2 linked regions of the Schizosaccharomyces pombe genome follow. Changing the gene in region 1 together with any one later gene gives a genetic interaction. Each region holds a gene or a part of one and is shown on either strand. Other genes may lie near its edges.

Region 1 (5,340 bases):
GGATGAGGCTTGATTTTGAAACCCAAGTTTCTGAAAACTCCACCGTAGAATTGAAAAAATAGAAAAACCGTCTTCTCTTACTAAATTTCCTTTTTTACAATCGTTCAAAAAGTCTTGCTTACGAAGCCAAACCCCTTGCTGGATCCAGTAAGCCTATATGCTTATTAGCTTCAAAAAAAATGCTTAATTCACGTACCGCAACAGCACCAAGGCTCAAAGGTCTACCTAAAGCAGGACTTGAAAACGCACTTTCAAAAGTCTCATCGAAAACTAAGATTATCCTAGAATTCAACTTCCCAGACCATGCGGATGTTTCAATTGCTTCTCTCCAAGTATTTACGTTTGCCAAAAATCCTTCAGGATTTTTTATAAACAGACTCGTAAAGTCAGAATACAGGCTTTTTAAACGAGTTTTTGTAAAAATTCCTTTATTAACAGAAAATTCCAAAGCATTGACTTTCTCCTTTTTTCCCATTCTGTCGTATATTCCTGAAGCTACCTGCGTGGTTTACTATATACAGTTTTCAAACAGAATTAATGGTATGAGGTGACTTGTCACTTGTACTTTTGTAATGTTACAAATTGCTAAATTTGGAGTTCTAATAAGGTGCTGATGATTTGTTTTCAAAAATTCAGACAATGAACAATTTATTCTAAAACTGATAAGATAGACAAGTTATAATAACATCAGCAATTTCGTATGAAGTTGACTAATGTAAAATCGCATATATCTAATATATGTTATATTGAGTATGATACTAAATTATAATTTTGATATAATAAATTATAATGCTAATGCTACATTTTAAATTGGAAATCCTAAGCTCCTTTATGCCAGCTCCTATTCCTTTTTCAAATCTTTCAAAATTATAGCTTACACCTCTACTCTTTGAATTTCACAGTTATTTTTTATATATACTTTTTATTTTAAAATAATTATTGACATCAGTCTAAATTCTAAAGCAACATTTCAAAAAACGTGAACAAAAAAAAAATGAAGTTTTAATTTCTAAAGTCATTAACTAGCTAATTGAATATAAATATGATACTGTAAGCGGTAATATAATTTTTCAACTTCGCATTAATCGCGCTTGAATTAATAAGCTCATAACCAAAATCGAAAGTTTAGCACCTACATAAGCAGATCTTGTACCAAAGATTGCCCAGATGACAGGATGAGTTGTCTAATGAAAAGTATTTTTCACCCGAAAGTTTTCGGAAAGCGTTGGTTTTAAGTCCAGCATATGTTCAGAAAGCGATTCCCATCCTGATTTTGAATACACACGATTAGCAAGATTCCAGCAAATCTCTGCCATTTTACAATGGCCACAGTCCCGCCAAAAGCCAGCGCTATATGCAAACCAAAAAGCAGCTTTTCTGCGGCGATTTCCATCAGTAACACCAACATGTTCCTTATTACTATACATTCCAGCTATTGTCGTATTTAAGAAAGAAGTTTCAAACGGATTGAGGGAAATAGGGCCTGGTTCCAATATCTTTGCAAGCCAGGATGCTGCAAAGTCGATACTAAACGCAGGCTTCAACGAGAGCAACAAGCTTGTAACTAGCACACTTCTAAATGTATAGTAAAAAGAGTGAAGACGAACAGCATAGATATAAACCATTTCGTCGAACCATTTGTTCAAATACGAAATTTGCGACTTCAAGCTGATATTCCGATTTTGCATTAACAGACATATTATTTGGATTTCCTCGCAAGACGCTAAATAATTCCAGGCTTTGTCTTGAGAAAATGTATTCCGAATCTCATCATAAATTTCATAAGCACGTTTGTAATCACGAAGCATAAAAGAAAAATCCGCCATTTTTCTTTTTATGCTTTCCTGCTTTTCTGAAGAATAAATAAGGGATAGTGGATCATAGTTACCTTGAGAATGGCTTGAATGATTACGAGACCAGTATTTTTTGGAGGCAAATAGAAGCCTGGTAGTTAAATTACCGTATTGAGGGGTCAGATCTTCTTCCCAGGCCCGTACGCATCTTTGCATAAAAGGATATATACTATCATACAACATTGTTTGAACAAACTTTTTCATCCCTTCCACTTCTTCTACAGGCAGTAAAGGATAAAGAGGCAAACACGATTGTTCGGATTCGGCCTGAACTTCTAATGATGATCTCCATTCTGGAATTGGAAATTTTCTTAAATTTTTAGTCACAAATGTTATCGGTTTGGCATCATCACTAGATGAACAAAAGCTTTCGCTTTCCATCGAATCTCTAGGTGCATTTTTTAATGACTGTATAGAAGACGTATCATATCTGTCAGTATCTAAAGGTTTCGCTGATATGTAATTCGACCTTAATCTAATAAAATGAGAGTTTGCGCCAAGACTTCTCCGCATTTGCTGAAAAATTTGCTTCGAATTTGAAAGATCGTTGTTATCTTCATCATGTATAAACAAATAGTAATGTAAAATTTCTTTAGAAATAAAATTAGGAAAGGGCGCATTGTTAATTTCTTTGAATAAACGCATAACAGTTGCCATAGGATTGGTATTATGAGACGTTATAACAATTAGACAACCCACAGGATGAGAAAAAGTTTCATGTTCAGCTACCGGGTTACCAGAAAGTAGAAGTTTGAGATAATCCAGAATGGGATTTAAAAATCCATTTTCGGGGTAATTATTGCTGCCCGATTGAACCCACTCTTCTATGAGCTTCTGACTCAAGACTCTGAAACTATCAATGTCACCGCCAGGAGCAAATCTAGAATTTGCGCAATTTTCTAATCCGTTTTCGGTATTCCAGGCTTTATTTCGCTTCCACTGCCGAGGAACTTGTACTGCTTCCATAGGAACAAAGCGAATTGAGTCATGATCATTATCAAAAATCCTAGAATCCAAAGTTTCCTTTGAAATGGCAGAATTGTTTGTCGAGCTCTGAAAAATGCGATCTCCGAACGGTCGAATAAAAGATGCAAAATCGTCAAATCCTTTACGCTTCATGAAATTTTCTGTGTCATCAGATGCCATAATAAATATGTGCGGACAATATGTGTCACTGATCAGCTGTCGAAGCTTTAGCCCAAACGCATTGTTGCTCACCGATGACGGTGTTACATGAAGAGAACTTTGAGATGCATTAGGAGCAATTTCAGAAAGGCTCCTGGTTATAAAATTTGTTGCAATGTCCATAAGGATGTGTTAACGGTATAGAGGATAAAAATTCCAAACGTAGTATATGATTGTAGCAGGTCGTCGCAAATTTAATAAAATTTTGCATAGAGAAGCCAACCTATGCAAATTAAGGATTTATTACAATGTGTCATTACAAATTATTGGAAAAAATCCCCGAAAATTCCAAAATATTATGCAAAAGAAAGAGATGCAACTGCGAACCGGCCTGTTTAGTAAAGAAACATCGTATCGTTAAAGTAATTTAAGGAGACATACAGGTTGAATGGGTATAAAATTGTAAACAAGGTTGATGAGAAGACGCCTATAATTAAACAAGGTATCAAGAAAGAAGTTGCGTTTCCTGAGTCACAGAATCCTTTTTCGATTGCTGTTGATCGTCTGGCAAAATTTCAGTTTTAGTTTCATTACTGAACTGATCAGAGGAGCTTCTGCTTCCCCTAGTAACATTTTTCTTTAAGATTTTGTGAGGGAATTTAGCAAGCGATTGATTGAAATCGGCAATATCCCGTTGCTTCTGAGCATATCGAAGAGCATAAATAATTTGTTCTTTATCTTGTAATTCATCTCTTAGATCTGCAATTTCGAAATTATGGTCAGAAAGCAATTCCTCCATTCGTAAACGAGCTCTACTTATAGCAGTTCCTTGCGAACGCTCTGCCTCTAACATGGCAATGTATGTATCTCGTTCCTCTAAGTCCGAAGTCAATTGCTTCACCAAAGAAGCATAATATTCAACTTCTTGGGCATTCTTTTCAAGGGCAGAGTGTAAAGATGCTAATTCAGCTTGAACATTAGTCACAGCTTCCGCTTGGCGAATATCTTGAGGCAAATTTTGAGCTCTAGATGCAAATTTAAGCGTGTTAGTAGTCTCCATCGTATGGTTGGATTCTATGCTTATCGTTGCTAAAAGTGATATTTGTGATTGGCCGGATAAAGATTGCTGCAACAGACGAGTTAACTTAGACTCACGATACGGTATATGTCCTGAATTTGAGGTAAGTGAAGGATTTGCAGCTGCTGACAACCTAGAAATAACAGTTCCTAATGTTAAAAGAGATTTGTTGATAAATGCTCCTTCTTTGCGTCTTTCATGGTGAGCTGAAGCTCTTTCACTTCCAGCGAGATCCACCAAGCTGAGACTCGAAATTTGTGAAGTGTGAGCAGTAGGATTATTTCGAATAAGAAAAACCTGAAGAATTGCATGCGAACGAGAACTATACGTATTGAAATCGGTTGCTGCTGTTTTTCGGATTGCATTGCACTGTTCAATAACCTGACTAACCTCTTCGGGGCTAGTGACGAGAACTCGAGTTAATGGTGTAACATTGACTTCTCCAGATGCATTTTCGCGTATTCTTGGCTCTTCGTCCGAGTTTCCGATTAAGTCTCGTATTCTCTCATTATAAATTTCTAAATAGGATATACGGATTTGAAAGGTATCGTCATCAGAATTGTTTTCAACCATTTCAAATAAATCATTCATGGCAAGTGGAATAATACCAGGTTCGTTTTCCGTACCTTGCATAGAATATGTTTTTCCTGTGCCGGTCATTCCATAAGCAAACACTATTCCATTATATCCGGAAAAAACATTACGGACAACCGACTTAACAGAACGTTTGTATATATCGTAATTTTTAGATTCCATCCCAAAAACATTATTAAAAAGATATTCTTGCTGAATTGTGGACGAGCTTGTACTTGTTTGCTGGCGAATGTATTCACGACCATATGGGTCATTGCTTAACTTGCCATGTGACCATACACCTTGGTTTTTACCAATAGGTCGAATACGTATACTTGTGATAATTCCTGAACCAACAAAGTTGCTCTCTTTTAAACCTTTAGAATTGGTTTGTTGACTTGTTGTAGATTCATAATTAACATACTCATTTTTTAAATAATCCAAGTCCTTCGACGGATACAAGGCAGGACGCGTGTATCTATCTAAAGTTCCAGGAGACATCAATTTCTCTGTAACTCCCAAATCAAATGCTGTAGGCCCATTTACATTTGTTTGAGTGCTATTGCTTCGTAGCATAGGTATGGAATAGTTCGAAAAATTTCGGGACAATGGTGACGTTGGGGAATATGGAATACTCCCTGTTCCACTCTGAGATGGACCAGTCCGTATGCCAGTCATTGTAGAATAGCGGCGAGGTGTAACCAACCCAGT
Region 2 (4,699 bases), 500 kb from region 1:
CCTCGGTTATAATTGTTGGGCAACGCGCCGTTGTTTGCTCAGGTGAACTGGAACTTAATAAGTAAATTCGGTATTGTTTTACATTTTTAGGCATATGATCAAGAACTGTAAGTAAACAGATAGCAGAAACCATTTGAATCTTACAATATTACATGATAGTACGTTCGAGCAGCACTGAATTTAACAAGTGCATCTAATAATGCTGTTACGGCGTATACAGCATCCTTGCAAATATAAGCATTGCTAAACATAACTCATTTATGTTTTATAGACATTACTTTCAAAACATCAAATTTTTCTATTTATATGCTCTTTTTAACAACCACCATACCTAAATGAATTACTATTTTAAACTTAGTATATTTTCTAGGCAGCGTATTTTTTGCGAGATAAGCAGTTAAAATTTAAACTAATACTTTAATGTAAAGCAAAATTTGTGATTCATAGAGTACAATAAAGCACTTTGGTCTCACATTAATACAATGACATACACCGACCCCAGCTGTTTGAGTGCATATAAAGCATTAAAATATAGTGATAATAATTTAACTTACAAATTTTCCACTAGCAAGACATACCTACAAATACCGGGAAAAATATCCTCTAATATTCGTTTAAAGCTGTCTTTAACAGCATAACTTAGCGCGGTTTAAATCCCTTACTTTTCGTACTTGTCATAAACCAGGCAAAGCTTCTAAGTATTTCAAACTATCCATATCTCTTGAGAATAAACAGGTGTTTTTAGATGCTAAACTATTAAGACGAACACAAAACCTGTATCTGGAATAAAAAAATATATATTTAATATAAAAGATGGCTATAGCAAAAAACAGAAAGGAGTATGTACGTTAAGGAAAATTAACAAATATCAAAGAGGTAAACAATTAAACCCATCCAGGTAACTTCATAAAACGAAAATCAAAAATCACCACCGAAACGTTCCTAAATAAAATAAATAACTCAATTTGTGAAAGTGTGGGACATATTAAAAGATGGGAGTGAACACTTTTGAACTTTAATGCATGCAGGTAATATGGCTGTGATGTACACATTTAATCGTAATCTCGTTAAAAGGAAGAACTATATGAGATTATCCAAAGTGCAAAAAAATTTATGGCGAACGTATATGTTTACCGTATTTTGATAGCACCATATTCAGAAATTGCAGGCAACTTTGTTGATCATCTCTGTCAGGTTGAGATAGAATGCAGTCCTTTAGGAGATTTATTTCTTTATCTGCAACAGAAATGGAAATAGCTTCAAGACGATACTCAAGATTTACCCAAGCCTGCGAAATTTGCTCACATGTGCTTGGCAATAAACAGTATGCTTTCAATAATGACCGATAAGTGACATGAGTAGGCTTTAACCCGTACTTGTCTATCATATCAAATCCAGCAGAAAGCCATTTTACATCCTTTAAACGACTAGCAATAGAGAACAAGGTGTTGGCAGTACTAATGGATGGTTTGAACTCCTTTACATCTGACATCTTGTTGATAAACGTAGTGATAAAGTCGGTAGCCTTTTTAATATCCCGATCTCGTTCAAATTGCTTCATTGAAAGACTTAAAATAGCATTTGTCAAACGAGTGATATCTTTGGGTGACACTGAAAGATAATAATCGAAAATAGTTAGCAAAGGATCTAGAGAATGGTGTGCTTCAAAAAGTCTTTGAAGTAACCAAACGGTTGTATAGATCGTTGGTAGATTTCTTTCGTTAAGATTAGAATTTTTCAGATAAGCAGCAGCTTGATCGACGAGACCTTTGTTGACAAACACTGAAATAATGACATCGGAGTGAAAACTTGTTAGTCCGTTAAATTGAACTAAAGCTTTATGAGCTTTACTGCTAATACCTTGATCTTTGAAAACAGTATAAATCAAATACACAGCAACCAATTCATTTACAACTTCTTTCCCTTCAAGTTGCTCGTGAATGGCTGAACCTATTTTTCCACACTGTTCAAAACTGGCACCTCCAAGTATCTTAGCTTGAAGTGCTGAGATGTAGAGGTTGCCTAAAACTCGTTCATCTTTAGGTAAAAACTCCATATGGCTTAAGCTCATATCAGCAATTAATGAAGCCTTGTCAAAAAGGTTTAGGTCGATATATGATTGGAGCATAATTCGCCAAAACCTAGCAGAGGCAATCTCTTGGTGTTCAATTGCATATCGAAGTATATCATCAAGTTTGTCGAGAGTAGCTTCATCTACATTACCTCTCCCATTGAGCATTTTAATCCGATCTACCAAAAACAAAATGTATCTATTAATGGTTTGACTATCTAAAATGCCAAATGGTTTCAGGCTGCTGAAAGTAGCAACGGTTTCCGTATACTTGCGCGCCTTCATTTCATCATTTAATTGTTTCAGCTATTTACCTGTTAGAAAAAGGTGGAAACATCAGCCTTTACATACCAAATTTTGAGAATTCTGCCTTACATGTTGTTGAGTTTCAGCGGTGAATGAAGTTTGTAACCCAGAATGTAAAGGCGGAGCGGTGAAAAGGGTACGCGTATTTTGTAAAAGTGCATCTGACACTTTAGCATTACTACTACGCAGCAATTTCCGAAAAATTTGGCTCCCAAATCCTTGCATGGTATACGCTTGGGGTAAGTTTGTTGTTGCTGAGTCATGTTGTGGCTACTCTCTACTCAGTCAGGATTGATCTAGAAAAGATCAGCAAAATGGCGTTTCCTGAATATGTTAGAACTGATTCTATTTTATTTTTCTTTTCCTATAATAGTTCAATCATGTAGTAACAAAGCAACTTAACTAAGACTCTGCTGCATGCTTAGGCACATTCTTTGCAAATTAGTTAAAACCGGCATTTACAATATTTTTAAAATTTATACAATCAGTCTAGTTTAATTTAGGTAATTTAATAGATAGGACTTCAAAATCCCTGTAAAAATATAATGAAAAGTAATTTTTTCAGTTGCATCAATTAAAGGCGTCGCTTTCATATAAATTCTCAAAGCATTTTATAAGGACTTTCAAAGGATGGCAAGTAGTGATTGAAAACCAACACTTCTTTTTAAAAGGTCTACTGGTTATCAACAAAATACATGTCTATGATGAATTAAATTTAAAATTAAAGAAAGGACAAAATGTTAATATTGAAATATAGAAATCAATAACTTTCAAAAGTATATTTTTTAACAGCGTACCCAATTATCCAAAAGATTACATATAAAACTAATTTAACAGACATTCAGTCAGAAGAAATATTCTGAAGACTAGACTTTACGGCTAGACATTTCGATTTTAGGACTGCAATGCTTTTAATGAACAAGACATCGGGCTTCATAATACCGGTGCTTTCAACAGAAAACAAATAATGATCGCGTACGCGGCCTAATTGCACCTTATCTGCAAATTCGGGATGTCTCAAGCATTCGCGGGATACGGTGTCTTTTCGAACGTCTGCTACACGGGCTTGTTTTTTACCATCAGGTCCTTCTTCAAGCTCGATGACTCCTTTAGGGAAGCATTTTTGAAATTTAACTGCATCTTCACCTTCAATAGGAGACAAGATATGTATAGTAGGCAATAAGCGGTAGGAGGCAGTAGCAACAGGAGAAAACTTAGCATGGTCTTGTCCAATACCTAAGATTGCATGAGCTTCTAAATCGATTTCCTGGCCAGGACGCAATTTTGCAACAACAATATCTGGGTTGACTACTCGTATAGGATTGTCAGCAAATCGCTCTTCCTGTCGACCTTGCGGTTTCCAAATTAGATCACCCGAATAAACCTCAGAGTTAACGTAAAGTCTCTTTGGATCTTTTTCATCTGTAGCGGCATTCTTATTAAACTCGCATTTCTTATTAAGGGAAAAGACAACAGTATCGTAATCAGTATGAGTTGCCTCTTGTCCTGGCAGAGGATGTTGAAACCATTTAAACATGTCAGGATCAGCAGATATAGGTACAAGACCTATTCTGTGAGACAAAACCTCATCTTGTATTATGCTCGTATTGTTTATGATATACACGAACTCAAATGCAAGAGTTGGGATCTCGGCGATTAAAATCCTCCTAAATGCATTTGCAATGGATGCATCAATTCCAGAAATTTCAAATACCATTGTTTCTTGATCGAGAGACGTAATCGAAACTTTTAAATTTTTTTTAAATTTATCAAGATCCCAGATGTTGTCTTCATCAAAATAATAACCTGGAAAATCTACACTTCCTACATCTGTAACACGATCAGAAAGGACAGAGATTTCTGTCCTTGATCTGTCAACCGCTGCCATTTTTAATTTTATGAAAAAAACGGTGAGAAGTTGCAATATAAACTTTTAAAACCTTTATATGCGTAAAAATTCGCTATTGTGTGGTAAACACGATAGTGCGAATAAAAGTAAGACATTGCAAATTAACTGACAATAGTAGTAGAGCACTTGAAGAAGCGTAAATAGCATTTTTTTAGCGATTCAAGTTTGCCAAACATTCATTTTTTTTTTTTAGACTGTATTTATAACGCTAAATACGAAATGGACGACAAAGAATTGTTTGATCGGTCTATATTTGAAGAAACTAATCAGTTACATTTGTATGATCAATTGAATTATTTAAAAAAGAATGACCTGCAAAAGTTTAGGAAACTTTTAAATCAAGTTCAGCAATTGGACTTACGGTCATTGTGGTTGAAGTATCGAAATGCTAAAGCGACAAGCCAAGAGAACAG

The links. Genes that interact genetically often act in the same process or in processes that back each other up.
Region 2: mutations in trs8501 (region 1) and ppr8 together harm fitness more than expected from each alone (negative genetic interaction), as found in Schizosaccharomyces pombe (one large-scale study listed by BioGRID).

What each region holds. Positions count from the first base shown.
Region 1 is NC_003423.3:3,893,231-3,898,570, reverse strand, and holds trs8501 (TRAPP complex subunit Trs85), read right to left. Parts: upstream 3,341-5,340; 5' UTR 3,162-3,340; coding exon 1,185-3,161; 3' UTR 1,057-1,184; downstream 1-1,056. Other genes in the region: cmp7 (ESCRT III complex subunit), read right to left, coding at 1-153, 197-475; kinesin family plus-end directed microtubule motor Tea2, read right to left, coding at 3,484-5,340.
Region 2 is NC_003423.3:4,392,835-4,397,533, forward strand, and holds ppr8 (PPR repeat-containing protein Ppr8), read right to left. Parts: upstream 2,614-4,699; 5' UTR 2,603-2,613; coding exon 2,423-2,602; intron 2,378-2,422; coding exon 1,112-2,377; 3' UTR 776-1,111; downstream 1-775. Other genes in the region: DNA-directed RNA polymerase I and III subunit Rpc40, read right to left, coding at 3,219-4,265; uap1 (UDP-N-acetylglucosamine diphosphorylase Uap1/Qri1(predicted)), read left to right, coding at 4,506-4,699. UniProt on the Schizosaccharomyces pombe protein: Mitochondrial RNA-binding protein involved in mitochondrial translation. The cox1 mRNA is one target but it is not clear if ppr8 has a single or multiple targets.